Linked DNA regions of Saccharomyces cerevisiae S288C. Changing the gene in region 4 together with the main gene of any one other region gives a genetic interaction. Each region holds a gene or a part of one and is shown on either strand. Other genes may lie near its edges. The genes, in order: RRM3, SWI6, CTF8 and CLB5.

The links.
Region 1: mutations in CLB5 (region 4) and RRM3 together harm fitness more than expected from each alone (negative genetic interaction), as found in Saccharomyces cerevisiae (5 studies listed by BioGRID, with this or other methods).
Region 2: mutations in CLB5 (region 4) and SWI6 together harm fitness more than expected from each alone (negative genetic interaction), as found in Saccharomyces cerevisiae (5 studies listed by BioGRID, with this or other methods).
Region 3: mutations in CLB5 (region 4) and CTF8 together harm fitness more than expected from each alone (negative genetic interaction), as found in Saccharomyces cerevisiae (5 studies listed by BioGRID, with this or other methods).

Annotation. Positions count from the first base shown.
Region 1 is NC_001140.6:170,299-179,435, forward strand, and holds RRM3 (DNA helicase), read right to left. Parts: upstream 2,673-9,137; coding exon 501-2,672; downstream 1-500. Other genes in the region: mitogen-activated serine/threonine-protein kinase SLT2, read right to left, coding at 1-46; ERC1 (Erc1p), read left to right, coding at 3,046-4,791; YHR033W (putative glutamate 5-kinase), read left to right, coding at 5,250-6,521; PIH1 (Pih1p), read right to left, coding at 6,667-7,701; GTPase-activating protein NEL1, read left to right, coding at 7,921-9,137. UniProt on the Saccharomyces cerevisiae protein: 5' to 3' DNA replicative helicase recruited to paused replisomes to promote fork progression throughout nonhistone protein-DNA complexes, naturally occurring impediments that are encountered in each S phase where replication forks pauses.
Region 2 is NC_001144.5:514,558-523,699, reverse strand, and holds SWI6 (transcriptional regulator SWI6), read right to left. Parts: upstream 5,761-9,142; coding exon 3,349-5,760; downstream 1-3,348. Other genes in the region: EMG1 (18S rRNA pseudouridine methyltransferase), read right to left, coding at 1-68; 60S ribosomal protein eL37 RPL37A, read right to left, coding at 412-671, 1,031-1,037; TOS4 (Tos4p), read left to right, coding at 1,688-3,157; VTA1 (Vta1p), read left to right, coding at 6,030-7,022; methionine adenosyltransferase SAM1, read right to left, coding at 7,290-8,438; YLR179C (uncharacterized protein), read left to right, coding at 8,987-9,142. UniProt on the Saccharomyces cerevisiae protein: Part of a complex involved in cell-cycle-dependent transcription. SWI4 and SWI6 are required for formation of the cell-cycle box factor-DNA complex. The repeated element in the upstream region of HO (5'-CACGAAAA-3') is called the cell cycle box (CCB).
Region 3 is NC_001140.6:484,867-488,321, forward strand, and holds CTF8 (Ctf8p), read right to left. Parts: upstream 1,766-3,455; coding exon 1,364-1,765; downstream 1-1,363. Other genes in the region: ERG9 (bifunctional farnesyl-diphosphate farnesyltransferase/squalene synthase), read left to right, coding at 1-1,313; LNP1 (Lnp1p), read left to right, coding at 1,960-2,796; EGD2 (Egd2p), read right to left, coding at 2,846-3,370. UniProt on the Saccharomyces cerevisiae protein: Essential for the fidelity of chromosome transmission. Required for the DNA replication block checkpoint.
Region 4 is NC_001148.4:769,959-778,127, forward strand, and holds CLB5 (B-type cyclin CLB5), read right to left. Parts: upstream 5,225-8,169; coding exon 3,917-5,224; downstream 1-3,916. Other genes in the region: B-type cyclin CLB2, read left to right, coding at 1,695-3,170. UniProt on the Saccharomyces cerevisiae protein: Required for efficient progression through S phase and possibly for the normal progression through meiosis. Interacts with CDC28.

The DNA.
Region 1 (9,137 bases), on a different chromosome or scaffold from region 4:
CTTGATTGAAGACCTTGAAAGTATGCCTCTCTATCTTATCAGCCATCTCCCAGAATTGTTATACACGCCCTTCAATTATTTCTACTATTTTGATAGCTTCAATAAGAAAATCTGTGGCCTAGATTTGCTGACTGAATGCACAGTTCGTCTAATATATATATATATCTGGCAGACCAGGGTCTTCAATTAAATCTAAATATTTGTGTAGGATCTGATTTCCCTCACTTTTTTTTTCGATATATTCCTGGCTAGATCTCCTTTTTCAGTTTCTATTTTTAACACTGAAACTTTCCATTCTGCCAACATTTCGCAGTCTTCTATAAAAAAAAAAAAAGATAATATAAAAATCGCCGCATACGTAGGCTTAGCTAAATAGATGGCTTCTAGATGAATATTTCGGGATTCTGTTAAATTATACAGATAGGCTCACAAGTATTCGAACCTGTATAGAACAAGAAAAGAAAACTTCAACTAGAGTATATGCATTTATTCGTTGCAAGTCATTTCAAAGTTTCTAAACGTTTATAGAAATCTTTTACTCTTTCATTGGTGCGAATCTTTCCTGGATCAAAGTTTAGGACCTGTAAGGTGTCCATAGTTACCGCTCTTGACAGTGCAACATAAACTTGGCCGGCTTCGAAAATTCTCCTCAAGTCGACCTTTAGTCTTTGAATAGTTTGACCCTGTGCCTTATGAATGGACAGTGCCCAGCATAGCATTAATGGAATCTGAGTTCTTTCTAACCCGACATTTTCTCTGGGAATATCAATGGGAAAGCGCTCTGGGACCATGAGCTCATGTATGTACTTGTTTTTACCCACTGTCCACCTCACATAGGGGAATTTTTCCTTATGCGGAGAGATCTTAACTGCATAGTTTATCAAGATTTTCAAACGTTCCAATCTAGCTAATGGCCTGGCATTCAAATCTTGACGAAACTCCTTTGATTCCTTTAACAAGGGATTACCAATGACCCGACTCACTAATCTCATGTCCATGACAACTTCGTCATCCACAATCTTGTAAATTTCCTTCATTTTCACCACCAGCGATTCTGTAACAAAAAACAAAACTTTTCCCAATGATCCATTAACTAATTCTACATCAGGCTTATTTTTCAACATCATTACCTGTGCATCTTCCTTCAATGCGACAACTTTTTCCACCATTAATGAAGAATCTAGTATCGCTTGGTATCTCTCGGGCGCGTTATCTACAGCTTTAAACTCATATAAATCACCAGGTAGAGACTGTAATTTCTTTACGTTGGATAGTTCAACTTCTCTTCTTGTGGCATACAGTTCTGTAGGAGCAATTCCATCGGCATAGTCTATATCCCTATTTAGGTTCCTTATTGTTTTAGCAATGTCGACAGTCAGCTCTCCGTATCTTATGGCATTTAGAATATCAATTAGTTTGTTATCCTGTTGTCTGAAAACCTTTGTCAGTAAAATCGTTTTTTGAATGCACCGTTTCCACATTTCACTTTCAAAACAAAATTTCACAACGTTATGCTCGTCCTTCTTAGCAACTGGTGGTAGTTGAAAAAAATCGCCTGTCAGGACCAATTGAATACCACCAAAGGGATCGTCGTTCTTCCGAATTCTCCTTGCGATTTGCTCTAATTTATCCAACAGATTACCATCGACCATAGAAATTTCATCAATTATCAAAACTTTTGTATACCTCCATGCGGCCAATAAGTCCTTTTGTGATTGTATTTTTTTCACCAATTGGTCGATAGTTTTGTTCCCGATTCCTATACCAGACCACTTATGCAATGTGGAACCACCAATAGTCACTGCCGCTAGCCCAGTTGAGGCGGTAATTGCAATTGATTCTTTCCCATACAAAGAGCTCAATTGTCTTATGATCGTTTGCAAAATGACCGACTTACCTGTACCCGCACTACCGGTGTAAAAGACATTTGTTCTTTTTTTGACGATTAAATTAACCACTCTCTCTTGCTCCATTGTAAGTACCACTGGCGAAGACGCACTTCGGTGGTTCATTGAGTCCATATTTGATACTGTCTTTCTTAGCAGTGGTTTTATTTTCTTTGGTACTGTGAGCTTTAAACCTTGAAACTCCATAGAAGGTTTAGACCTCTTGGCTGGTCTTTCTGAATCAGTAGAAAGTTTCATGCTAGAATCTTCAATATTAATTGTACTAGTGAACGATAATTGTCTAGAATTGGATTTCACGCTAGTAACCTCTCGCAAAGTCTCATCCTCATCAAAATGGTATGTTTTCTGAGTCGTGGACGCAGAGGCAGTCTTATGAAGAGAGCTGGTCATCGACAGCGATCTGCTAGACTTTTTATAGCTATTGAGTCTCGGCACATCTACCAATTTTTTGAATTCTGCGTCGGGATCATCATCTCCAAACGAACCTTGACTCTGCGAGAATAAGGAAGACGAATTATTCCGTATTAATCTTGGCCTAGGAGGTGCTGTTATATTACGGTTACCTTCGTCACCGCTTTCCAAATCAATTATTGTCGTGCTGTTTTTTGAAGCAGCAGCAGATTTTTTGCCGCAACCCATAAAGAACGAAGACAACGTTTGTTGCCTGTATGCGTGAGAGCCAGATGCCGAAGCAGCAGGTGTGCTACCATTTGAGGATCTTTTAGACCATTGCTTCTTGTTACCGGAGGCATGCGACCTGAACATCGGGATGTCTTATAAGAACAAATCTCTCGACTTTTGAGCTTGTTCTCCTCTGCTTATTGTTCGAGATGATGTTTATTTACATATTCTTTGACGTAATAATATCGGAATAATGCATGCGCATTCGGGTTAGCCCCGTTATAGGGAAAATGAAAAAAAAAAAAATAATAAAAAAAAAAAAGACTAAAAAAATAGAAGAGCACGGCAACTTAAAAAGAAAAAAAAAATTTATGATAACTACAAAATAGTAAAGAACCCTGGCAAAAGAAATAAATCCGGTAAGGGAAGATAGACCGGCTTAAAAAGTACTTTTTCAGATTTGTCAAGGGTCTGTGTTAGCGGTGAAGAAGATAGAAGAAGAAGACGAAAGAAGACTATGTCTAAACAATTTAGTCATACCACCAACGACAGAAGATCATCGATTATCTACTCCACCAGTGTCGGGAAGGCAGGGCTTTTCACGCCTGCAGACTACATCCCACAGGAGTCAGAAGAAAACTTAATTGAGGGCGAAGAGCAAGAGGGTAGTGAAGAAGAACCTTCCTATACCGGCAATGACGATGAGACGGAGAGGGAAGGTGAATACCATTCGTTGTTAGATGCCAACAATTCGCGGACATTGCAACAAGAAGCGTGGCAACAAGGTTATGACTCTCACGACCGTAAGCGGTTGCTTGACGAAGAACGGGACCTGCTAATAGACAACAAACTGCTCTCTCAACACGGCAACGGTGGGGGAGATATAGAAAGTCACGGACATGGCCAAGCAATTGGACCGGACGAGGAAGAAAGACCAGCTGAGATTGCAAATACGTGGGAGAGCGCGATCGAGAGTGGTCAGAAAATCAGCACAACTTTTAAGAGAGAAACGCAAGTGATCACGATGAATGCGTTGCCGCTAATCTTCACCTTTATCTTGCAAAATTCGTTGTCACTAGCATCTATTTTCTCCGTCTCACATTTAGGGACGAAAGAGCTAGGTGGTGTTACACTCGGTTCTATGACTGCTAACATCACGGGTCTTGCTGCTATTCAAGGTCTGTGTACATGTCTGGACACACTGTGTGCGCAGGCATACGGTGCCAAAAACTACCACTTGGTGGGTGTGCTAGTGCAGAGATGTGCTGTGATCACCATCTTGGCGTTCTTGCCAATGATGTATGTTTGGTTTGTTTGGTCGGAAAAGATCCTAGCACTAATGATTCCGGAGAGAGAACTATGCGCGCTAGCGGCTAACTATCTACGTGTAACCGCATTCGGTGTGCCAGGATTCATCCTTTTTGAATGTGGTAAGAGGTTCCTACAATGTCAAGGTATATTCCATGCATCCACAATCGTGCTCTTTGTGTGCGCACCCTTGAACGCATTGATGAACTACTTACTTGTTTGGAATGACAAGATTGGGATTGGGTACCTTGGTGCGCCATTATCGGTTGTGATCAACTACTGGTTGATGACGCTCGGATTACTAATATACGCAATGACCACCAAGCACAAGGAGAGACCACTCAAATGCTGGAATGGTATCATCCCTAAGGAACAAGCATTTAAGAACTGGCGTAAGATGATTAACCTAGCTATTCCCGGCGTGGTGATGGTGGAGGCAGAGTTCCTCGGCTTTGAAGTGTTGACAATTTTCGCTTCCCATCTGGGCACCGATGCCTTGGGCGCTCAGTCGATTGTGGCTACGATTGCGTCTCTTGCATACCAAGTGCCTTTCTCTATCTCCGTTTCTACCAGTACACGTGTAGCCAATTTTATCGGCGCGTCGCTATACGACAGCTGCATGATCACGTGCCGCGTGTCCTTATTGTTGTCCTTTGTGTGCTCCTCAATGAACATGTTCGTTATCTGCCGTTATAAGGAACAAATCGCAAGTCTATTTTCTACTGAGAGCGCTGTAGTGAAGATGGTCGTGGACACACTACCTCTTCTTGCGTTCATGCAATTATTCGATGCCTTTAATGCGTCCACCGCCGGATGCCTACGTGGTCAAGGGAGACAAAAAAATAGGTGGGTACATCAACCTAGTCGCATTCTACTGCCTAGGTGTGCCCATGGCATATGTGTTAGCATTCCTGTATCATCTGGGTGTAGGCGGCTTATGGTTGGGTATAACTAGCGCGTTGGTAATGATGAGTGTGTGTCAAGGATACGCCGTTTTTCATGGTGATAGACGCCGTATTCTCGGAGCGGCACGCAAGCGCAATGCTGAGACCCATACATCATGAAACTCCTTCAGGGTCGAATGACGTATAGGGGAGATGCACACCCCCACCCCCGCATCACACCCAGTCTTCTAGCCAATTATGTTGGTAATTTTAAGGGTTTCGCCATGTGGCATGCCACCGGCAAAATAATACACGTGCCCGTACGGCACCAAACGGGCATGCATTTTTGCATTTGAAAAAGTTTGCTGCCCTTCATGTGCTTTTATGTATGCATACACATACACATTCGTGCATACATTCATTTATATATATATAGAGTGTGCATCGTGCATATGATTATTCATTACCACTTTTTTTGTTTTTGATTTTGTTCGTCAAAAGGAAGAGAAAAGGCATATCGAAGGGTGTAATGACAAAAGCTTATACTATCGTTATCAAGCTGGGCAGTTCGTCGCTCGTCGACGAGAGCACAAAAGAGCCAAAGTTGTCCATCATGACGTTAATCGTCGAGACCGTGACGAATCTTAAGCGCATGGGCCACAAAGTGATCATCGTATCCAGCGGCGGCATTGCCGTTGGTTTGGACGCTCTCAACATTCCGCACAAGCCTAAGCAGTTGTCTGAAGTGCAAGCGATTGCCGCTGTCGGACAAGGCCGTCTCATCGCGCGCTGGAACATGCTGTTTTCCCAGTATGGCGAGCAAACAGCGCAGATCCTGCTCACGCGTAACGATATACTGCGTTGGAACCAGTACAATAACGCACGCAATACAATCAACGAACTGCTGGCCATGGGTGTCATCCCTATAGTCAACGAAAACGATACGCTATCCATTAGCGAGATCGAGTTCGGCGATAACGACACGCTTTCTGCCATTACCGCTGCTCTTGTAGGGGCGGATTTCCTGTTCTTGCTCACAGATGTGGACTGCCTATATACAGACAATCCGCGCACTAATCCGGATGCTCGTCCTATTGTTCTCGTGCCAGAGCTATCAGAGGGCCTTCCGGGCGTCAACACTTCCAGTGGTTCAGGCTCCGAGGTTGGCACGGGCGGAATGCGCACCAAACTCATAGCCGCCGACCTCGCCTCTAATGCCGGTATCGAGACTATTGTGATGAAGAGCGACCGTCCAGAGTACGTCCCGAAGATCGTTGACTACATTCAGCATCACTTCCGCCCTCCGCGCCATATCGGAAACGGCACACAGCAGCAGTTTCTCGATCTTCAGGATACGGAGCTCGAACAGTTGCGTCGCTACGATGTTCCCATGCACACCAAGTTCTTAGCTAATGACAACAAACACAAGCTTAAGAACAGGGAATTTTGGATTCTGCACGGGCTCATTACCAAGGGCGCCATTATCATCGACGAGAACAGCTATGATAAACTTTTGTCAAAGGATATGGCTAGTCTGACTCCAAACGCCGTGATCGAAGTCCGAGACAACTTCCACGAACTTGAATGCGTTGATCTCAAAATAGGCCAGCGGTTACCCAATGGCGAATTGGATATCTCGAAGCCGATTCAGTCTGTTGGATGCGTCCGCTCCAATTATACGAGTCTGGAGCTTGCGAAGATCAAGGGCTTACCCAGTGAGAAGATTCACGATGTTTTGGGCTACAGTGTGAGTGAATACGTAGCACATAGAGAAAACATCGCTTTCCCTCCGCAATTTTGAGAATATTCCCTTTTTTTTACCGGATTAAAAAAAAAAAAAAAAATTCTGTTATAGATGCACATCATATCTCTCTCCTTTTTCCCGCTTTTATATATTCGTTCGTATTAGTCACAACAAAAACCAAAAGAATACTCGAAATGTTAGTTTATATATATATATATAGTGTGCGTTCTTTGCGGATATGGAAAATCTTGATATCTGCTGCATTCACGACTATGTCGCGCGGCAAAGGTATGCTCAGCTTACCGTTAATGTATAAAATATTCTCTGCGAAGTTGTAGCTCGGAGAGAACCGGTCCGGCTTCGAGTTCGGAGCTTTGTTCTCAATAAGAATTCGCAGCTTGTAGGCGGCCCCTTTGAACCTCTTCATCTTTACCTCGTATTCCGGCACGTCCTCCTGCTGCTCGTGCGGTGCAGGTGCAGGTGCAGGTGCCTGTTTCAGGTTTCTGTGAGCAATCTCGTTCTTATCAATCTCCTCTATCTTGGCTCCGGAGATTTTGTTCTCGATAGGGAACAATGGTGGTAGTGTTCCATCGTCGGGATCATTATTATCATCGCCATCGTCATTCCTTCCTCTCAATATACTCATCGGGTCTCCGGCCTCCTCTTCTATGATTTTATGCATTTTTGCCTTGTAATCTTGATGTAACTCATCATTCAATACCTCTAGTGCAGGAAGCTCAGCGCCCTTCTTCTTCATCTTGGGGAATGCAATGCGATCTCTGCACAATACCACCGAATCTCGGATCTCACATGACTCCAAGCACCATTCGACCAGTATCTCTCGCAGTTGGATATCATCGCATATCCAGCGCGAGCAATCGCTATTTATGCAGCAATCCCACACATAGCACTCCTGCCCCTTCTTGTCATGGTCCATGCGGTAGCAGGATGTAATAATAGGAATCTCCCATTCGTTTTGGATGATGAGCGGGAACACTATCCTTGCATTAAAATCGACCTCAGGTTTGGGCACTAACGGAGAGTGACAAACATTGATGAACACCTTCCTGCCATCTTGCAGTTTTTCCGGCCCATTAGCGGATAATAGTTTTGTCTTAATTACAAAATCTGCGATGGGCTCAATTTTAGACACCGATCCGTCTGCAGCGTCCACCGACACGTACTTGTCCTCGTTTCTATGACGTTGCTTAATTGGTCTCAATAAGAAATCGGCCATCGGTTAAGGTCTGTTTGTTCGCTTTGAAAAGTCTGTTCCCTGTATTCCTTTTTCTTCCATGCATATGAATTCAAGAATTCCTAGTTTTTTTCTATCATTATTGTCTTCTGATTTTTTTTAAGGAAAAAAAATATCAAGAGTAAAAATAGTGATCAGGTACTGAATCCTGTATTTGTACAATACTGCAATCTAGCACCAAATTTGGCCAAGGAAGTGCCTATGTGTTCTCCAACTAATTTCTTATATGAGCCCTTTTCCAGCGATGCTGTGACGCAGAACTATGACCAAAATCTAAAATGCACCAAATGTGGCGCCTATTATTCGATGGCTTGTTCCCTACGAGAACAGAATGTTTGGACTTGTCTATTCTGCAACCAATCAAACTCAAATGCTGAATTGCCACTGGTACCTTCCAACACCTATACATTGACTTCTGCAAAGAAAGAAATACTTTCAAGACGGACCATTATGATTATAGACGCTATTTGCGATCCTCATGAGCTAAATTATTTAGTTTCCATTCTATGTAATAATTACATCACAAGACAACAAGAGCCACTATCAATAATTACTATTCAGCAATCAGGTCATGTGATTTTACACAATGCTGTGAATCACAGACGTGATGCTGTATTTTCAATAAATGAATTTATGACCAAATATAATCTTGATAAATTAAATGCCAGTTACTTCGAGAAAAAAATTTCAGAAATCAATCAAGAATCATACTGGTTTGATAAATCTACTCAGGGTTCTTTAAGAAAATTGCTACGGGAAATATGCAAGATTGCAAACAAAGTGAATATCAGTTCTAAAAGGGACAAGCGTTGCACCGGATTAGCGCTGTTCGTTTCATCCGTACTGGCGTCTCAGTGCAGTTTGTCAGCCTACTGTCATATAGTTTCATTCCTGAATGGTCCATGTACTAAGGGTGGCGGCAAAGTTATGTCAAGAGAACGTGGTGAAAGCATGAGACAAAACCACCATTTTGAATCCAAAAGTTCACAATTGCAACTATCAAAAAGTCCGACAAAATTTTACAAGAAAATGCTTGAAAAATTTGCAAACCAATCGTTAATCTATGAATTCTTTATAGCTTCATTGGATCAAATCGGTATACTCGAAATGAGTCCATTAATAACTTCGTCAATGGCAGTTTCTCAGTTTGATTCATTCAATGATGAGAGATTCGCAATGTCTTTTCAAAAGTACCTGAACTTGCGTGACCATAATGCCATTTACAATTGTCATTCAAAGATAATGACCGCAAAGAACGCTATTGTCGTTAAGGACTTCCCAAAATATAGCTTAAACCCTAAAAACCTTTCTCTACCATTAGAAATCTCACTAGGTCACAATTCAGCTGAAGCTCCTATACAGTTTCAAACCACTTTTGAAAATCAAACGGAAAAATACATAAGAATTGAAACCCTCTT
Region 2 (9,142 bases), on a different chromosome or scaffold from region 4:
AAAGAGGCCGGTAATGCCTTCTGATCACCACCTTTGAGGGCGTCTCTAACTCTGGAATCTTCGACCATGACCTACGATTTTACGGGTTTTCTTCTTGGTGACTAGATATCTGGTAACTGGGTTGCACTAACTTTGCTCCCTATAACGAATGATGCTGGCAAAAACAGTTCAAGACATCTCTGTATATATTCATCGAACAATAATTTTTCACTTTTTCCGGTCATGAATTACGAAACTATCAATTCTACTTTTCCCGTAAGCACTCAAAGGCGTTACATATGAATAAAGATATATTAAAAAAAGGCTGGAGATTTGTTAACTAATTGTTTAGAAGTTTTTTTGCAGTTGGTTATTATATAAGGTCTCTAATTATTGAGTTTTCATTTAAAGAAATAGATCTTAGTATAAAAATTAAGCAGAAGCCTTAGAAGCAGAGCCGGTTTGGAAACCGTTCTTGAATCTTCTTGAAACGTGTTTCAAGTATCTCATTCTACCAGTACCAGTAGTGTGTCTTCTCTTAGCCTTGGCACCCCAGTTGTAAGATCTGGTCTTAGCAGCTGGATAACCACAGGAGGAACAGGTCTTCTTTTGAACATGGAAAGAACGACGACCACATCTGTTACACAAAGTGTGGGACTTGTTGTGACGTTTACCGAATGAAGGAGTACCCTCTATTTAAAAAGAAAATCAAATTGTTGTGCAATTTGGTTAAGTTTGTTAGTACAATTTGCTTTATCTTATAGTTACACTTTTTTCGTGACTGTTACAACGCCATTGAAATTGATCCTTTCGAGTTCCCTCAGGCATACAAGCAGAATATTTCTTCTATACGGTAAATTTGTTGTCATGCGCATGTCTTTCGTTCACTATTCTGTCTTCATACAAGTATACCAGTCTCGTATCGTCCAGTCTTGCTAAGTATAAATTTGGTGTGCATGCGTTCCGATATTTCTCTTCAGATAATCATAACATTTCTCCACGGTCGTCAATAACAGGTTCACAGTTTTATTCTCAATGTCCTACTACATACTACCCATTTTTGTCTATATTATTTGTATGAGGCTTTAGCAAATACCTCTTAAAAGTAAACATTTTTGAAATTTAATAGTACCCTCATATAGAGCATTTCTCATTCTTACACTTGTAATATTGACGGTGATGAGAAAGCTACCAGGAGAACATCAACGTTTGGAGGAGACAGACCGACGGACCACACTTCACCAGTATGGCATCGCCCTGCCTACCATCAGCCTAGAGAACGGGCAGACGGATTGACTTCCCTTTCCCCAAGGGGCCGCCTTCTTGTTGCCGGCCTGCCGAAGTGTGTTTTAGAATTTCTTCGAAAGAGAATAGTCTCGACAACGTTTTGTCTTGGAAAACCTTTTGTGTACGGATGTTTAGTTAATAATAATGTACAGATGTTAATATGGTTTTTTTTTTTTGATATGAAAACGCCAAAACGCGAAAAAAAAATCCCGTGGCCCTTTTTTCTTAAGTTCATCTCTATGGTTTGCTTTCGTGTTTTGATGAGAATGAACAGCGGCAGTCGACGTAAACTAAAATTCATCAATGGAAACTCTTTCTCTACTTTCATTCATTTAGAATTGAATTATAGCAATCTACTTTACGTACAAAAGTCCATATACATCTGCCACGACACATCAAAGATTAATAATCACAAGAAGGCATGAGCTCGCAATTTCCTTCGTCCCCCTACAGGACAGTGGATCCGTACTCTCCACCAAATTACAAACAGCAGCCTAATTGTCCCTCATCCAATTATGAGAAAGCTGGTAAAACTGCGTCAGAATCAATTGGAAATTTCGGGAAAGGAGATTATCCAACTCCATTTCCTTCTTCCAGTATAGGAAGGGTTTCGTCTCCCGTTAGGTCGAATAAGGTTGACGCCATCCCTTCCTCTCCAGCTTTTCCTGGCCAGTTGGCAGAAACGTCACCCAAGTTTTCTTCCAAACTTTCTTCTCCTTCAAGGCATACTAGAGTCATCAATGCTGAACTAGATCCTAGCAAGATCAGCACCATTACTGTAGGGCGCAATAGTTCGCAATGTGATGTTGCGCTCTGTAAGAATAAGTTCATATCCAGAGTACACGCTAGTATAACTTATTTACCACAAACAAATGAAGTGAAGATTCACTGCTTCAGTATGAACGGATTAATCGTTACCTATCGTAAGCAATTTGATTGTTATCAATTAAAGGATACCATGAATAACAATAATAGGGCATATAGGCTTGTTCCCAGATTCTCTAACGAAAAATGTGTTAAAGAAATTCAAGACGAGGGAGGATTCATTAATTTCACTCTGGAAGAGGGAGACACCGTTTATATGACATATTACAAGGGTATCATGTTGGATTTTAGGCAGGTTTTACTTCGCATTTCGTTAAAAGAAAAAAACTCTTCTTCAGAGCCGTTAAGATTCGAGAAGAAAGCTGAATTTGAAAGTGAAAGTGAAACGAAACATATGGGTAGTATAAGGAAGCATCCATTGATTTTTACTGACACTTCGATGGACAGACCCAAAAAAATACTTAAGGATAGCAACAAAATCTCAATTGGTAGTGATTCTGGCGTTGCAGAAAGGATGCTAAACCACTTCCTAAATTCTAAATCGTCCCCACTTTCATCCGTCTCCTCTGTTGATCACGAGGAACAAACCCTGAGACAAGATTCACTATCATCTGATAAAAATCCTATGACTATGAAGAAACCAAAACTTAACAAGAGGGTCTTACCTTCAAAGCCAAAAAAATCGGTGAAAGAGAATTTGGATGAGCTATCTAGAAGAAATATTGATGTTATGCATCTACAGCATATTTTAACCAATCACCTAGCTTTTGCAAACGTCCAGCAGACGCCATTATTCCAATTACAGCAGGTGAACTCACAAATTTCTGAGCTTTCAAGAGATGAATTACGTTCGATTTTGAGCGACGCGAAATGTGTCGGTGTCATTTACCGTCATGGTAAGGACGCCGCCGGCAAACCATTGGACGAAGAGTATTTCTACGATTTAGAAAACGATGATGATTACGAGAGAAGAAACTTGGTGAGTTCATTAAAAGGTGGAAGGACAGGCTTAAGATCTTGTAGAAGGACACATAAACAATATTTTTGGAAAAAGCCAGCAAAATAGAACATTTTATTCCATCGGATATATGATAAGAACAAGAAAATAAAACATCAAGTGCCTATATATCCCATCTGAGTACGTAAAAATTTTGTAAGAATACAGTTATGTAGTAAAATAAAAGTAAATAAAGCGCTAAAACAAAAAAATAACTTCAAATAAAGTCATAAAAGTTAATGCAATGAAATCACATGCCCTCATGAAGCATGCTTTTTTAAAAAATCTTGCATTTCGTCAGTGTCAATGTCTTGTGGGTCTTCAGAAGATATGGCCTGTAACAAACCATCAAGCATATTGTCAACTTTATTTTCGTCGATTTTCAAACATAAAGATAACACTCTTCTAAATTTATTCTCTAATTCTGATTGTTTGGTGCTGATTGTATCCAATACATTGGTTAGGTGTTTATCATTCCGCTTGTATGCATTTATTCTTGCCTTCAATAAGACCGTTGGTGGAAGCATCGATTGGATTTTTTCTGCGGGAAGTTGATTTCGTATCTGTTCCATTATCTGCTCTTTCGACTCCGCTTCTAATAGTTTGGAAATATCGCCTTCATAATTCTTTTGTAATTTATCCTCCAAGAAATCTGAAAGGAACTCTACTTTGAAGGGTTCATCTGCATCATATTCGCTAGAGTCCCAATCAATACCTGAACTTTCATCTGCAATTATTCCTAGCTTTTTGCTCTCTTCCCTAAAACTTTCCTCTTCTTCTTCAATTCCTGCTTTTAAATTGGTCAATTGCTCTTGCATTAGTGAGTATTCATCTTTCAATTGCTTCACATTTGCTAGTTGTTCTCTAGAATTAGCTAATTCTTCTCGCTGTTCGTTCAATTCCTTGTGTAGTTTTTCTAATTTCTCATTATATTGCACTGTTTCATTCTCATAATCTTTCGAGATTGAATTCAGTAAATTTTGGACATCATTAATTAACGAAGTTGTTTCAGGTGGGTTTTTCAACAGTTGAGACCTTATTTTTTTGGCCTTTCCATTTTTTTGACCGTCGTAATCACCCTTAGAGACCATCTTCGAGTTTTCGTCACCGCCGTTCGTATTTTGTAATTTTGAAGTACCTGCCCCAAAATCCACGGGTCTCAACCCTGATTTGTTTGCAATAAATGGGTCAGCACCGTAATCTAATAAAGCGTCTACTATTGAAATGTTTCCCAATCTTGCTGCAATGTTCAAGCAAGTATCGCCATTAGAGTCCTGCGCATTGAGCATGTTTGCTATTATCCATTTCAGGTCCAAATTTTCTAGTATAGAGTCCTTTCTTTCCCCATTTTTGTCATTCGGTTTGCTTTCTTTTTCGTTAGTACCACTTTGAATGGGTCTATTTTGTTTCTTGACAATCCATCCCATTAAAATATCTAAATAATATTTCGCAGCTGCTGAACAGCCAGTCATACCAGACGTAATAATGATATGGTGCAAAATTGTTCTATTCATTGAGTCTTCCAAAATTAAACATGGATATAAATAATCTAGAAGTGCCTCAAAAGTACCAGAGTCGTAATTATTTACTGATTTGACAGCTTTCACTAGGCATGACTCCCCCATATTATCACCATATAATCTGTTTGAACCATGCTTAACCAGGTGTTTCACTAATTCCAGGTTTGCTATTGAAGTCAGCCAATGTAATGGTGTGTTTCCATGCTCATCTACAGGAATATTAAGATTTAATTGAGTATTAGGAAAAGCGTCGTTTACCTCTTGCAAAAGGCTATCAAATGATACGTGCTGTTGTTGTTGGTTTGAGCTCCCCCCTTCTGAATTTCTATTACTGCTGTCATTATTAAGGGATGTAGGCATTTCTTGAATTTCTGGAAATAACAACCGTTGTAAGAATGCCTCTAGTTTCATCTTCTGTTCATTATCATTTACAACTGGAGAAGGTAGTGCTTTCATGATTTTCAGTGGACTGCTTAAAAAGTCAGAAGTTAGGTCATGAGTGAATGTTATGATAGGTCCAGCGGTTCTGTCATTGTCATCAGTGCCATTATTTTCATTGTCGCCGCTAGGGCCCTTATTAATATCATCGTTAGGCTTGCCTCTGGCAGTATTCGGAGTGGAGTCACTCTCAGCATCTATTACAGAGGTATCTATTTTTAGTTTTTTTAAAGGAGAGCCTAATTCTCTGTGTGCATCAGAATCCAGGCTCATATCTTGTAAATTATTAATCCTCTTTGAGCTGATATTATCCTTAGAATTTTCACTTTTGGTCTTGTTTTCTGGTAGTTTCGAATGGCTGGGATCTTCTTCATCCTGATCTGTTTCAGGCTCCTCAAATTCGAATGCATCCTGGAACAAACCGAATAAATTTAGCATGTTTAATAATTGTAAACATTTTTCCAGCTCTATCCATAACTCACCTCGGTCGTCTGTATTTACAGCAATTCCATAATGTGCCAGTAATTTATTTCTTTCCTCATCAGTGGGGAAACTATCGGGGTTGGTCTCGTTAATATTCCCCGTGTCATGATATTGCTGCAAAATGGGCAGAAAATGTTTCAGGAGGAAATGGCCAGTCTCCGAGTCTCTAGTGAGTGTCAAAGGGATCTCATTGTGAGGTCCTAAGTATCGTACCACTTCTTCCAACGCCATCCTCTCGAGAATTATACTGTGTTCCCCTTTATTATTCTTTTTTTTTTAGCTATTGCTTAGTTCATATTGATGTTTCTCAATCGTGTTTTTTGTTGTTTTTTTTTATTATTATGAAATCGTTGGAGAAGGAAACTAAAAAAAAAAACTAAGATTTGGTGAATGATCTTATCCAAACGGTCCAGATGAAGACAAAAAAAGGAACAATAAGCTTTCTTATTTTATTTGATTCAATTTTTAGAAACTAATTGTCCACATTTTAAATAAATTCTATGGCTAGTAACGCTGCAAGGGTTGTCGCTACAGCGAAGGATTTTGACAAAGTTGGGTTAGGGATCATCGGATACTATCTTCAGTTATATGCGGTGGAATTGATACTGAGTGAAGAAGATCGGTCGCAAGAGATGACCGCACTAGCGACAGAACTTCTTGATACTATTGAAGCGTTTAAGAAGGAGATTGGCGGCGAGAGTGAAGCAGAAGACAGTGACAAAAGCTTACACGTTATGAACACGCTAATACATGATCAAGAAAAAGCCAAAATTTATATGCTAAATTTTACAATGTCGTTGTATAACGAGAAACTGAAACAGCTAAAAGATGGTCCCTGGGATGTTATGTTAAAAAGATCACTTTGGTGTTGTATTGATTTATTTTCATGCATTTTACACCTGTGGAAGGAAAATATAAGTGAAACGAGTACAAATTCATTACAAAAACGAATTAAGTATTGCAAAATTTATTTGAGTAAATTGGCAAAGGGTGAAATTGGTTCCAGCGACGAGAAAACGTTAGATTATGCAGATTTTGCGGATGATAGCGAGGAGATTAAGGATGAAGATGTTGATCACCAGACAAGCGATTTGGAAAACAATAATAATGATAAAGTCGAAGGCCTAGCCCCAAAAGACCAAACAACATCATACGAGCCTGTGGATGAGGTACCTGAATTTATTGATGATGCCGATAGCGTAAACGAAGAAGAACAGACCGTCGACAAGAACGAAGATGCAATAACAAAAGACGAACAACAAGTTGTGAAGAAAGAAGTGGATCTTACGCGCCCTTCTGCACCATCAGAACCTGCTGCAGCAGAGCATAAATCGTATACAAAGGATGAGTTGACAAAAATTATGGACAGGGCCAGTAAAATAGAGCAAATTCAAAAACTTGCCAAATACGCCATAAGCGCATTGAATTATGAAGACCTGCCCACCGCCAAAGATGAGTTAACTAAGGCGTTGGATCTGTTAAATTCTATTTGAATAAGATAAAGTTTGGTTTGTTGATCCGTTGAAGGAGGTATATATTAATATTAGTAGTTACGTATTAAATGTTAGAAAGGAAAAGGAATCCTGTATAATGCAAAATGAAATCGATACAAATTTGATTTGAGAAAAATGAGTCTATATCAAGAATATGATGGTATTGCGTCCCTGCATCAAATACGGTATAATGTACATGTTGACTTGTGTTGAGCAAATGAAAACATGGGAGGTTGAAGGCAGAAAAAAGTCCAAAAGGAAAAAAGCTTAGAACTTCAAAGTCTTAGGCTTTTCCCATGGGTATTCTTGGTTTGTGAAATGGCCATAAGAAGCGGTTGGCAAGTAGATTGGTCTAGCTAAGTCCAACTCCTTGACCAATACACCAGGTCTCAAGTCAAAGTTCTTGCTGATAATGTCGATAATTTCTTCGTCAGACTTGGTCGCAGTACCATAGGTGTCAACGTGCAAGGACAATGGTTCCGCAATACCGATGGCATAAGAAAATTGAACTTGAACTCTCTTACATAAACCAGCGGCAACTAGGGACTTGGCAACCCATCTAGCGGCATAAGCGGCAGAACGATCAACCTTAGAGTAGTCCTTACCGGAGAAGGCACCACCACCGACGGATGAGGCACCACCGTAAGCGTCGACGATGATCTTTCTACCGGTCAAACCAGCGTCACCTTGAGGACCACCGATGACGAATCTACCGGAAGGTTGGATAAAGTATTTGGTGTTTTCGTCCAACATGTCTCTTGGGATGACTTTTTCAATGATCTCGGACTTTAGTTGCGCTCTTAAGTCCTCGGTCGTGATTTCGTCAGCATGTTGAGCGGAGACGACGACGGTGTCGATTCTTTGTGGAACCCATCTACCGTGGTCATCCTTGTATTCGACGGTGACTTGAGTCTTGGTGTCTGGTCTCAACCACGCTAAAGAGCCATCTCTTCTCGCGTCAGCCATGGCCATGTTTAGTTTATGAGCCAAAAGAATAGTCAAAGGCAAACCCTCTGGAGTTTCATCTGTGGCGTAACCAAACATGATACCTTGGTCACCGGCACCGATGTCTTCCAAATCCTTCTCCTCGTGGACACCTTGGGCGATATCTGGAGATTGTTGCTCAATGGCGACAAGGACGTTACAGGTCTTATAGTCGAAACCCTTGGCGGAATCATCGTAACCAATCTTCTTGATGGTGTCTCTGACGATTTTTTGGTAATCCAACTGTGCCTTGGTAGTAATTTCACCAAAGACCATAATCATACCAGTCTTTGCCGCGGTTTCACACGCAACTTTGGAGTGAGGGTCCTCGGCTAAACAAGCGTCCAAGATGGCGTCGGAAACTTGGTCACAGATCTTATCTGGGTGACCTTCACCAACGGATTCAGAAGTGAATAAAAATGTACCGGCCATATTTTCGTTTATCTTATTTTTTCTTGTTTTTAGGGTAAATTCCTGGTTTTTACTCTATTTTTTTTTCGAAGCTAACCGAAAAACAACGATGAATAACAGACAACACCAGTCGATATATACGTCCCAAACCAATCCCATTAAGTACTAAACGGAAAACTTTTTACTCTTCCCTTTTTCATCGATACCAGAGTGAAAAACTACGATGAGGCTAAAATTTCCTCGAGACAAGAACCCGAAAAAAGAAATGCACTAGTAGGCAAGGGCGCCACCACAGTTTTCCTGTGAAAAAAAAAAAAGAAAGTATTCGTGTGTAGTGATATATAACTTTATCTTCAAATTCTATTTCCGTCTTACGTCCGTTTCGGTACCTTTTTTTCAAAAGATCTTGCCTGACATTTTTTTGAACAATATAAAAGTGCCAAGCGTGCTCATTATTGGAAGTGCGCACCAGGTGAGGAATTGAATGTTGCCATCAATTGTTTGAGTAAACACTGCCCATCTGCCACTTTCGGTACCCATCCGAGTACTTAGTAATAGAAATATATATTATGTCTAGTGCCATCGTTGCTAAACTGAACAAAGAGGACATCATTAAGGACACCGTCAAGGACTTGGCGTTCGAGATTCTTGGTGAGTTGTCGGTTTCGTACGTTGATTCTGACGACATCAAATTGGGCAATCCCATGCCAATGGAAGCTACGCAA
Region 3 (3,455 bases), on a different chromosome or scaffold from region 4:
CATTGCATCCGGTCGAGATGAAGGCAGCTTTGAAGCTGAAGTTTTGCAGAACACCGCTATTCTCCATCTATGATCAGTCCACGTCTCCATATCTCTTGCACTGTTTCGAACTGTTGAACTTGACCTCCAGATCGTTTGCTGCTGTGATCAGAGAGCTGCATCCAGAATTGAGAAACTGTGTTACTCTCTTTTATTTGATTTTAAGGGCTTTGGATACCATCGAAGACGATATGTCCATCGAACACGATTTGAAAATTGACTTGTTGCGTCACTTCCACGAGAAATTGTTGTTAACTAAATGGAGTTTCGACGGAAATGCCCCCGATGTGAAGGACAGAGCCGTTTTGACAGATTTCGAATCGATTCTTATTGAATTCCACAAATTGAAACCAGAATATCAAGAAGTCATCAAGGAGATCACCGAGAAAATGGGTAATGGTATGGCCGACTACATCTTAGATGAAAATTACAACTTGAATGGGTTGCAAACCGTCCACGACTACGACGTGTACTGTCACTACGTAGCTGGTTTGGTCGGTGATGGTTTGACCCGTTTGATTGTCATTGCCAAGTTTGCCAACGAATCTTTGTATTCTAATGAGCAATTGTATGAAAGCATGGGTCTTTTCCTACAAAAAACCAACATCATCAGAGATTACAATGAAGATTTGGTCGATGGTAGATCCTTCTGGCCCAAGGAAATCTGGTCACAATACGCTCCTCAGTTGAAGGACTTCATGAAACCTGAAAACGAACAACTGGGGTTGGACTGTATAAACCACCTCGTCTTAAACGCATTGAGTCATGTTATCGATGTGTTGACTTATTTGGCCGGTATCCACGAGCAATCCACTTTCCAATTTTGTGCCATTCCCCAAGTTATGGCCATTGCAACCTTGGCTTTGGTATTCAACAACCGTGAAGTGCTACATGGCAATGTAAAGATTCGTAAGGGTACTACCTGCTATTTAATTTTGAAATCAAGGACTTTGCGTGGCTGTGTCGAGATTTTTGACTATTACTTACGTGATATCAAATCTAAATTGGCTGTGCAAGATCCAAATTTCTTAAAATTGAACATTCAAATCTCCAAGATCGAACAGTTTATGGAAGAAATGTACCAGGATAAATTACCTCCTAACGTGAAGCCAAATGAAACTCCAATTTTCTTGAAAGTTAAAGAAAGATCCAGATACGATGATGAATTGGTTCCAACCCAACAAGAAGAAGAGTACAAGTTCAATATGGTTTTATCTATCATCTTGTCCGTTCTTCTTGGGTTTTATTATATATACACTTTACACAGAGCGTGAAGTCTGCGCCAAATAACATAAACAAACAACTCCGAACAATAACTAAGTACTTACATAATAGGTAGAGGCCTATCCTTAAAGATAACCTTATATTTCATTACATCAACTAATTCGACCTTATTATCTTTCGAATTGAAATGCATTATACCCATCGGTACGTCTAGCTTTGTCACCTTCCCCAGTAAACGCTGTTTCTTGCCGACAAACAATGTGGCCCTCTCTCCGTCAATCTGTAACGACCCAAATCGTATTAAAGTTTCGCCGTCCTGTTCACTGAACCTTCCCTCATTTGGAGAATCTCTCCTCGCCAGCGACGCAAAGTCCTTAGGCAACTCTAGTTCACCTTGAATCTCCAGCATCATCATCCCAAGCGGTGTTATCACCGTGGTCTGCTTTTCTCTTGACTGTGTCAACTTCTGCCATTGACTAGCATCTATATCTACACTAGGCATTCTTTTCAGCTGTTTATTGGGCTGAATGATAGTGATAATTCTTTTTTCTATCACTCCTTTGGCTATATTAGTGGTTAGCTTACTAAAAAAGATTAAAGGAAAAATGAAATTCAAGATGCTAACGTTGACATGTATATTTTAAGAAAACAAAAATCATACAAAGAGGAGATCGGATATAAAAGAATAACATAAATATGTTTAGTGCATTAGGTAAATGGGTCCGAGGCTCTCGCAATGATAAGGACTTTGTGACGAAGTATACCGCAGATTTATCACAAATAACTTCACAGATCCATCAATTAGATGTCGCGTTAAAGAAAAGCCAATCCATCTTGAGTCAATGGCAATCAAATCTGACCTTTTATGGTATTGCGTTAACGGTATTGGCCCTGAGCTACACATATTGGGAGTACCATGGTTATCGACCATACCTTGTGGTGACTGCGCTACTATGCATAGGCTCGCTAATCTTGTTCAAATGGGCATTAACCAAACTCTATGCATTTTATAACAACAATAGGTTACGCAAGTTGGCAAAACTCCGTGCAATTCATCAAAAGAAACTGGAAAAGTTAAAGGAAGAGACCCACTATAATGCTACAAGCTCAATCATCCAACGGTTTTCTTCCGGTGAAGATCAAAACGACGATGCCATGGTACTTCTAGATGATGAATTAAATGCTAAATACCAAGAATTAAACAATCTAAAGACAGAGCTAGAAAAATTTAAGAAGGAAAGCCATGTAAAGGGCCTAAAGAAGGAAGACAGCGATGCATGGTTCGACAAAATCATCAGCGTACTGGCAGGCGGTAATGAATTGGACTCAACAAGTTCGCTCTCTCCCTTCAAAAAAATCATATGTCCACAGTGTCATTGGAAATCCAATTGCTACAGATTGGCCAGTAAGCCAATCATCTTTATCTGTCCTCACTGTAACCACAAAATAGACGAAGTAAAGGAAAGAGAAGACGCCATTGAAGCAAAACAACCGGCACAGCCTTCGCAGTCGGAGAAGGAAAAAACAAAATGATTTTGCGTTAGAATAACTACGTACCCCTATATAATATATTTTTATATCATTATTTAGACAAGGACATGATAGCGTTGACTAAGTCACCATTGTGAGCTTTCAGGGCTTTGATGGCTTGGTTTTTGGAAACGTTAGTTTGTTGAACGACTAACTCGATATCATCCTTATTCAAGTCACCGGCATCAACTTCACCTTCTTCGTCATCTTCTTCTGCTGCGGCGTTGACACTGCCTTCTGCGGCGGCTTGCATGTCAGCTTGGATGTCTTCTGGGGACTTGGTAGCGACGTCTTCGTTAGATGGCATAATACCGCTAGCTTGAGCTTGTTGTTGAGCAGCGGCTAGCTTTTGGGTAAAGTTGTCAACCTTAGCTTCACCGAAGACAACGTAGTTACCACCGGCAGATCTGAAGACTTCTGGCTTTTCAATAGCATAGATTTGGTTGTCCTTCTTCCTGAAAGTGACTCTGATGATACCTGGGATTTGCTTCAAACCCAATTTGCCAATCAATTCTCTGGCTTTCTTTTCGTTCTTGTTTAAGACGGTAACGTTGGCGTTTTCTGGGATAGCAGACATTATCAATTGAGTATGTGGGTGTGTGGTTGCTTGTAAGGGTTGCTCCCAGAAGGAGACTTTACCTTAGTTCTTGTTTAAAATAATC
Region 4 (8,169 bases):
GGAGTGGTGATATATGCTTATTGTTCTACAAGTTCTCTTCATGCGTTTTTGTTTATCTATCTTATTGAATTATTATCTTCATGCATTTATACTTATTAAATTCGATGAACATTTCATATTATTTTTATATGCTTCATAATTCATGTTACTACGATCTATACAGAGTATTATCGTAATGTCTTACCTTTAGCTTGTCACTTAACACATGCACTGCATTTCGAAAAGATGCTTAAGCAAGTTTATCATAATTTGGGAGTGTTCGGTGAATTTATACAGAAAGCCCCTCCAACGTCTTATTGATAATGTATATTTAGTTCATTTACCAAAATACTATCAATTCATCAACCTCCAAGTGGTTTTGACTAAACAGCCCACAATTGACATATGTGACTGCTAAGCAGACCTTTCTTGAAGTAAATTTCAGGGAAACTAAGCTACGGCCTTTCCAAAATATGGGCAGGAACTGCTTAATCCTTTCCTTTTATTAGATAAGCACTTTAGTATTTTTGTTTTTCATGGCCTTATCCTACGTTATTGTCGTGAAAGAAATGGCAGAAATTTCTGTTGTACATAAATTACTAACTGCCTTACCTTGAAAACGGTTTTATTACAAAAATAGGGGTCAAGTGTTTTGTTATCCCTGTTGTTGTTGTTTTATAAGTCCTAATCTCGCTTGAATATCGCCCATATTCACACCCTGTTCTTGACCGTCTACTAAGGTGCCTTAGGGGGACTCAAACTTAAGATCGCCTTCTACGCGTTTTATGCTATGATCATTAGTGTTGATGCATCGGAAGTTTAAAAATTAAGTGCGAGTGCATTAGCACAGTGGAATTATTAGAATGACCACTACTCCTTCTAATCAAACACGCGGAAATAGCCGCCAAAAGACAGATTTTATTCCAAATGCGGGTAACTATTTGTATAATATGTTTACATATTGAGCCCGTTTAGGAAAGTGCAAGTTCAAGGCACTAATCAAAAAAGGAGATTTGTAAATATAGCGACCGAATCAGGAAAAGGTCAACAACGAAGTTCGCGATATGGATGAACTTCGGTGCCTGTCCCTCGAGGAAATAGCAAACTCGTTACAGCTAGCATCTCATAGCATGGGCATAGAGTTTCAGAAATTTTGCTCTTAATGGAAAATATAACCTCTTTGGGGAAAAGAGAAATAGATCCTTTCTCAAAAATTTAGAAAGGAAAAAAAATCAAAATATAATAAAATAGATTTTTTTTAGGTTAATTTTTTGCCAATTTAGCTAGACTTTTGAAAAGATCCAAAAATTTACTAAAATTGAATCTTTCTGGTATTAATTTTGTCCTATACCTCAAGAAGTAAAGTATTCTCGAATTGATACTTCTGAAAAGCGAAAGAAATATAGCTAAAGGATACTGGTTATTTATTCTTTCTTTTTTTCTTTCTTTTTGATTGAGCCAGTGTATAATAAAAACCTACTGCGAGCTATTCAATAAATTGACATAGAATATCTGTTGAAGCGGTTCTTTGATTGAGCATCTGTTTTCCTTTTGTATTTTTGTCCTTTTAGATTCTTTTAACGACATTGGAGAAATTTTAATCATTGTATAAAAACTTCATTCGCTCGTTTGTCAGAAGTTTTTTTATAACTTGCTATTTCCTTCCAAGAAGCCTTTTATTGATTACCCCCTCTCTCTCTTCATTGATCTTATAGATGTCCAACCCAATAGAAAACACAGAAAACTCACAGAATACTAGTTCATCAAGGTTTTTGAGGAATGTACAAAGGTTGGCCTTAAACAATGTAACAAATACGACATTTCAAAAGAGTAATGCGAATAATCCAGCCCTAACAAATTTCAAATCTACACTAAACTCAGTAAAGAAGGAGGGAAGTCGGATTCCTCAATTTACTAGAGAAAGCGTATCAAGATCAACAGCCGCACAAGAGGAGAAAAGAACCCTGAAAGAAAATGGTATCCAACTCCCCAAAAACAATCTTTTAGATGATAAAGAAAACCAAGACCCAAGTAGTCAGCAATTTGGTGCGCTAACTTCTATAAAGGAGGGGAGAGCTGAGCTGCCTGCAAATATAAGTTTACAAGAATCCTCCTCAGCGAAGGAGATAATCCAGCATGATCCCCTAAAAGGCGTTGGATCAAGCACTGAGGTAGTCCATAACTCGGTAGAAAACGAAAAACTTCATCCAGCTAGAAGTCAACTTCAAGTTAGAAATACCGAAAGTGAAACTGATAGTGGAAAAAAAAGACCAATTTCTACAATTGTTGAACAAGAACTGCCCAAAAAGTTTAAAGTGTGCGATGAAAATGGCAAAGAAGAATATGAATGGGAAGACCTAGATGCAGAAGATGTAAATGATCCATTCATGGTCAGCGAGTACGTCAATGATATATTCGAATATCTCCACCAACTAGAGGTCATTACTCTTCCAAAGAAGGAAGATCTCTATCAGCATAGAAATATTCATCAAAATCGAGATATCCTAGTTAATTGGTTGGTTAAAATCCATAATAAATTCGGCTTATTACCGGAGACTTTGTATCTTGCCATTAACATAATGGACAGGTTTTTAGGTAAAGAGCTAGTTCAACTGGATAAGTTACAATTGGTTGGCACATCATGCCTTTTCATTGCCTCTAAATATGAAGAGGTCTATTCTCCTAGTATAAAACATTTCGCATCAGAGACAGACGGTGCATGTACGGAAGATGAAATCAAAGAAGGGGAGAAATTCATTTTAAAGACATTGAAATTTAACCTAAATTATCCCAATCCGATGAATTTTCTGAGAAGAATTTCGAAAGCAGATGACTACGATATACAGTCTCGAACTCTTGCCAAATTCTTATTAGAGATATCATTGGTAGATTTCAGATTTATTGGGATACTACCCTCATTGTGTGCAGCAGCTGCGATGTTTATGTCGAGAAAAATGTTAGGTAAAGGTAAATGGGATGGAAATCTAATACACTATAGCGGCGGGTATACTAAAGAAGAACTTGCGCCCGTGTGTCACATGATAATGGATTATCTAGTGAGTCCAATTGTTCATGATGAATTTCATAGAAAATATCAATCTAGAAGATTTATGAAAGCTTCTATAATTTCCGTCCAATGGGCTTTAAAGGTTAGAAAAAACGGCTATGATATAATGACCTTGCATGAATGAGAAGAGGGGCAGATGCTTAAAATATCTAAAACGATAATCGATAAATGTCCATATAAAATGTATGGCTGCTTTTTAATCATTTCTTTTCACATTTCCATTTATTCTTACAAATTTCACACCCAATTTTAGCGCCTTTCATTCTGTTATTTTTAAACTGACGATAAAAAATCATTCGAAGCCTAAGATTTCCAAAATAAAACTCCATTTTTATTCTCACTAATAACACCACACCATTAATTTTAATTTTTTAATTTTAATTTCAGATTTGTACCATAAGTTTTATTCTATTTCAGTTCAACCGTTTCCGGATGCATGTAGCGAGGGTAGACAAAGAAAAGCATCAGTATCGGATGTTGATATTATGGGAAATATCATAACCTTAGTCTCTTAAAAAATGCTGCTTTCTTCTCATTTTTCATTTCTTTTAAAATTATTTCAGTATAGTTATTATAATTAACATTGGAATAACATTAATAATAATAATTTTTTAATAGTAATAATGATAATAATAATAATAAAAATAAAAGAATAAATTTAAAAACAAAAAAAATTCTAATATTAATGATGATAATAGTAGTAATACTGGTGGTATTATATATGTTGAAGTGAACACGCATATCACTATAAACTATATATACATATATATAGATAGATAGATAGATGCAAAAAATTTTTTCCTTTTAGTTCAGCAAAAAGAAAAGAAAATGTAAAGAGTATGCGAATTCATGAGCATTACTAGTACTAATCTACTTAAGATTAAATAGATTTTGAAAGTTGCTATGCATTTCGGATGTACACCACTTGAAAGTTTGGAAATAAACAGAGCCATACCTTGGTTTCTTGTACTTCAAAATCAATGAATCTAAATGAGTTTTGGAACTAGCGATGTCTTTGACTAGATCAATGCAGAGAGACTGAAACGCTTCATCGTGTATTGGATCGATACCACCACTGTAATGCTGTAGTGTTCCATTCCATAGCTCGTTCTTGTTTCTGTTGGTCATTCTTCTCGCTATATACATTGCCATTGCGCTTACGGTAGATGGAGGTAAATGAATGAATTGGTGGCAGCAGTAGGCATACTCTAAAATAAACTTACCAATATTTCTATTAACCGGATCGTAATCATCTGCCTTGGAGATCCTCCTTAGGAAATTGAGTGGGTTGGGCCAACCAATGTTGAATTCTAAGGAAGTGAGCATGAACATTTCCGCATTTTTTATGTCGTTTTTAGAAGCCGCGCCGTCAGTGATATAAGCGTATTCAGCTAGTTTGGGCAAATTTACCTCTTCAAATTTTGCCGCGATGAAAAGTGAGGTAACTGCCAATAATTGTAACTTGTTCATCGTAACTTTATTTTTAGCTAAAAATCTATCCATTAAGTTTATGGATAGGAATAACGTTTCCGGATAGCATTGAAATTTTTCGTGCACCTCTACCAGCCAATCCACTAATATTGTTCTCATGGAAGGCCTCAAATAATACTTGGACGTTTTGTCGAGTAAATAGTTGTGCGATGGTAACGTTTCTAATTCTCTTCTATATAAAAATGCAAAAATTTCAGCAGAATATTCTGCTACCATTGCAGTATCATCTTTTTCAACATAATCTAGGTCCTGCCAGCCTACTATTTCACTCACTCCTTCAGCGTCTATTCTGCGTTTTTTGTTCACTATCGAAGCAGCATCATCATCTTCTCCTTCTTCTTCTTCTTCTTCTTCTTGCTCTGCTGCCGTTCGATCGTTATATATCTGTCTTTTTTGAACGGCGCTAACAATAGGTCTAATGTTTTCTTCTCTTCGTACTTTGGCCGCCTTGCTCCCTGCTACTATTCTCTTGTTCTGGCTTAAAGGATTATTGTTCACTGGTACATCTGTTAAAGCCCTTCTTGGTTTAGAATCCTGAACCTGCTGCTTACTAGAGCTGTCATTTTTTGAAAGGGCCCTTTTATTTTGAAGAATCTTTAGGTTTGAATTGCACAACTGCCTCTCATTTTCATTATAAATCATAGAATTTCTTTTAATACTCTGCTCATGGTCGTGGTTCTCTCCCATTGTTCAGTAAAGGTGTTCAGCGGCTTTAAATACAGGGAAAAGCGCGTTACTGCTAATTATTAAGCTTATTTTGCTTTGTGTGAGACAACTAATTGGCCGTGAAAAGCTTTAGGTGATTGAGTCTCTTGAAGTACAAAGACAAAAAGACTTCAATAGATAGACAGAAAAAAAACTTTTCTTGAGAAGCTTAAGAATTAGTTCCAAGTAGCTTCTAATAAACCGATGAACGCAAATGAAGTTCCCTTCGCGGTAGATGGCAGTAGCTATCGGCAGTCACTAGGAAAAGTGAGTTTAGCACAGATATGCTGTGGGCGCTATCCCAATGTGGGCAAAGCGCGTGAACATCACGACGCGCCTTCCCGTTAAATTTTGTACCATCAAGGGCGCGTCTTCACTCGAGATGCGCGTTCTTTTGCTGGTTCTTTTCACTGAGGGCACAGAATATGATACCCACAGTATGACAAGTTTTAATCGAGATAGTTTGACGTTCGTTTTTTACTTTGAATATACTCGTAGTCTTTTTACTTTTTGAGTATAAAAAAAAAATGACTAGCAAAATAAAATTAGTAGTCTAAAAAAGAAAGCTCGCACTCAGGATCGAACTAAGGACCAACAGATTTGCAATCTGCTGCGCTACCACTGCGCCATACGAGCTTTTGAATTATGGTAATTTTGATTATCCTAGAATGTTATATCTCAATATCTCAATATATTTTGGACATCTATGAAACACCCATAAAGCAGCCGCTACCAAACAGACAAGATTCAGTATGTAAGGTAAATACCTTTTTGCACAGTTAAACTACCCAAACTTATTAAAGCTTGATAAATTACTGAAATTCCACCTTTCAGTTAGATTCAGGCCTCATATAGATTAGATATAGGGTACGTAACATTCTGTCAACCAAGTTGTTGGAATGAAAGTCTAAAATGTCATCTATTCGGTAGCACTCATGTTACTAGTATACTGTCACATGCGGTGTAACGTGGGGACATAAAACAGACATCAAATATAATGGAAGCTGAAATGCAAAGATCGATAATGTAATAGGAATGAAACATATAAAACGAAAGGAGAAGTAATGGTAATATTAGTATGTAGAAATACCGATTCAATTTTGGGGATTCTTATATTCTCGAGAGAATTTCTAGTATAATCTGTATACATAATATTATAGGCTTTACCAACAATGGAATTTCGACAATTATCATATTATTCACCAATTAATCACAAGTTGGTAATGAGTTTGATAACAAGTTACTTTCTTAACAACGTTAGTATCGTCAAAACACTCGGTTTTACTCGAGCTTGTAGCACAATAATACCGTGTAGAGTTCTGTATTGTTCTTCTTAGTGCTTGTATATGCTCATCCCGACCTTCCATTTTTTTTTTCTTGGAATCAGTACATAGCAGGTATGAGTTGTTAGAGCTGTTACAAGTTACGGTAAACATTTCAACACACCGTTATTTAACGAATTTATTTGAGAAAGTGGTGTATTTTAAGATATATGTTTGGTTTCGATTGTTGGCAAAGACTATAATATTATGCATATAGGATATACCAAAAATTCTCTCTGAGGATATAGGAATCTACAAAATGAATCTACATTTCATTTTATTACGTCATATATGAATACTAGTCAATAGATGATAGTTAATTTTTATTCTAGCATATATTTAAGTTTGTTTGCGAAACCCTATGCTCTGTTGTTCGGATTTGAAATTTTAAAACTACATTAATGTGTTAGTTTTTCTTTCTTTCTTTCTTTGTCTTGACGTGATTTGGACTTCTGTCTTGCATTCGCGTCCATTCATCTGACCCAATATTCCTTTTGGTTTTGTTATCCTTATAAAAAGAAAGGAAGCTTCTTAGAGGGAAAAAAATGATGAAGAGTAATGCCAAAATATAAATAAATAAATAAATATGAAAATCATTTTCTATTTTTAATAGAATAAGAAGAGCATCTTAAGATTACAATTTCAAGAAATAGTTTACACAGTATATCCAATAACTCCAATAAACTACTTTCCTATACAAATTTCTATGGTGGGATTAATAGTAAAACTTCTGTACTTCTCTAATTCACCAAGAAATTAAGGTAAACATCTGGTAAGCACTATCCAGCTTTTTGCTATTACACATATGGCTTTTCTGCAATCATTTCTTCCCATTTTGTCTCAAGCCGTTAGTCTTGAAACCACAGGCGGAGTAGAGTTACTTGATGCGGTATTTTACATGCCTTTTTTCACTGCAAAAAAAATGAAATACATATTTACACGATTTGCAGGACAGTTTACGATAGTGAGTATGCAGAATAGTTAACACCTTTGTTTTATCCTTTTGTGTCTTAATTATATGATATAAAGGCGCCTGGCGTTATCGGATAGTAATAGATGCTAGTTATCAACATTTCACAATTGAAGGAAATAAAGTTGAAGTACTCAACAAAAACTTACTTCAGAATTAAATTTTTGGGGGGAACATAGGCATCCTATGACAGGTGACCACAAGCCCCTCAACGCAATCTAATATTTTACAAAGTGGTAAAATTCTTTCGTTCTTCGTTTTAATATACAGTCATTTATTGATTCTATTACATTAATATTCCTACGCTTCGGCTCACATAATTAACAGGACTTCGAGTCCGTTAAACTTGGGATCAACTAATTTCTACGGATTAGTGCTTATGCCTGATGTACTGCCATATATGGTGTTATGATATCACATAAATGACGAGAAACGGCCATCGAATTTAGTGGAAGCTGAAATGTAAGGATTAATAATGTAATAGGATAGTAAGTGCCGACGTGTGAAACGAAAGAACGAATTGTAATTTTACCATGTAAAGCTGCCCACTCTTTTTTGGGGATTCCTTTACCTACGAGAGGGCCTGTTAGAATATATGCAATAAAGCCATTCTTATCAGAGATAGACTCCAAACA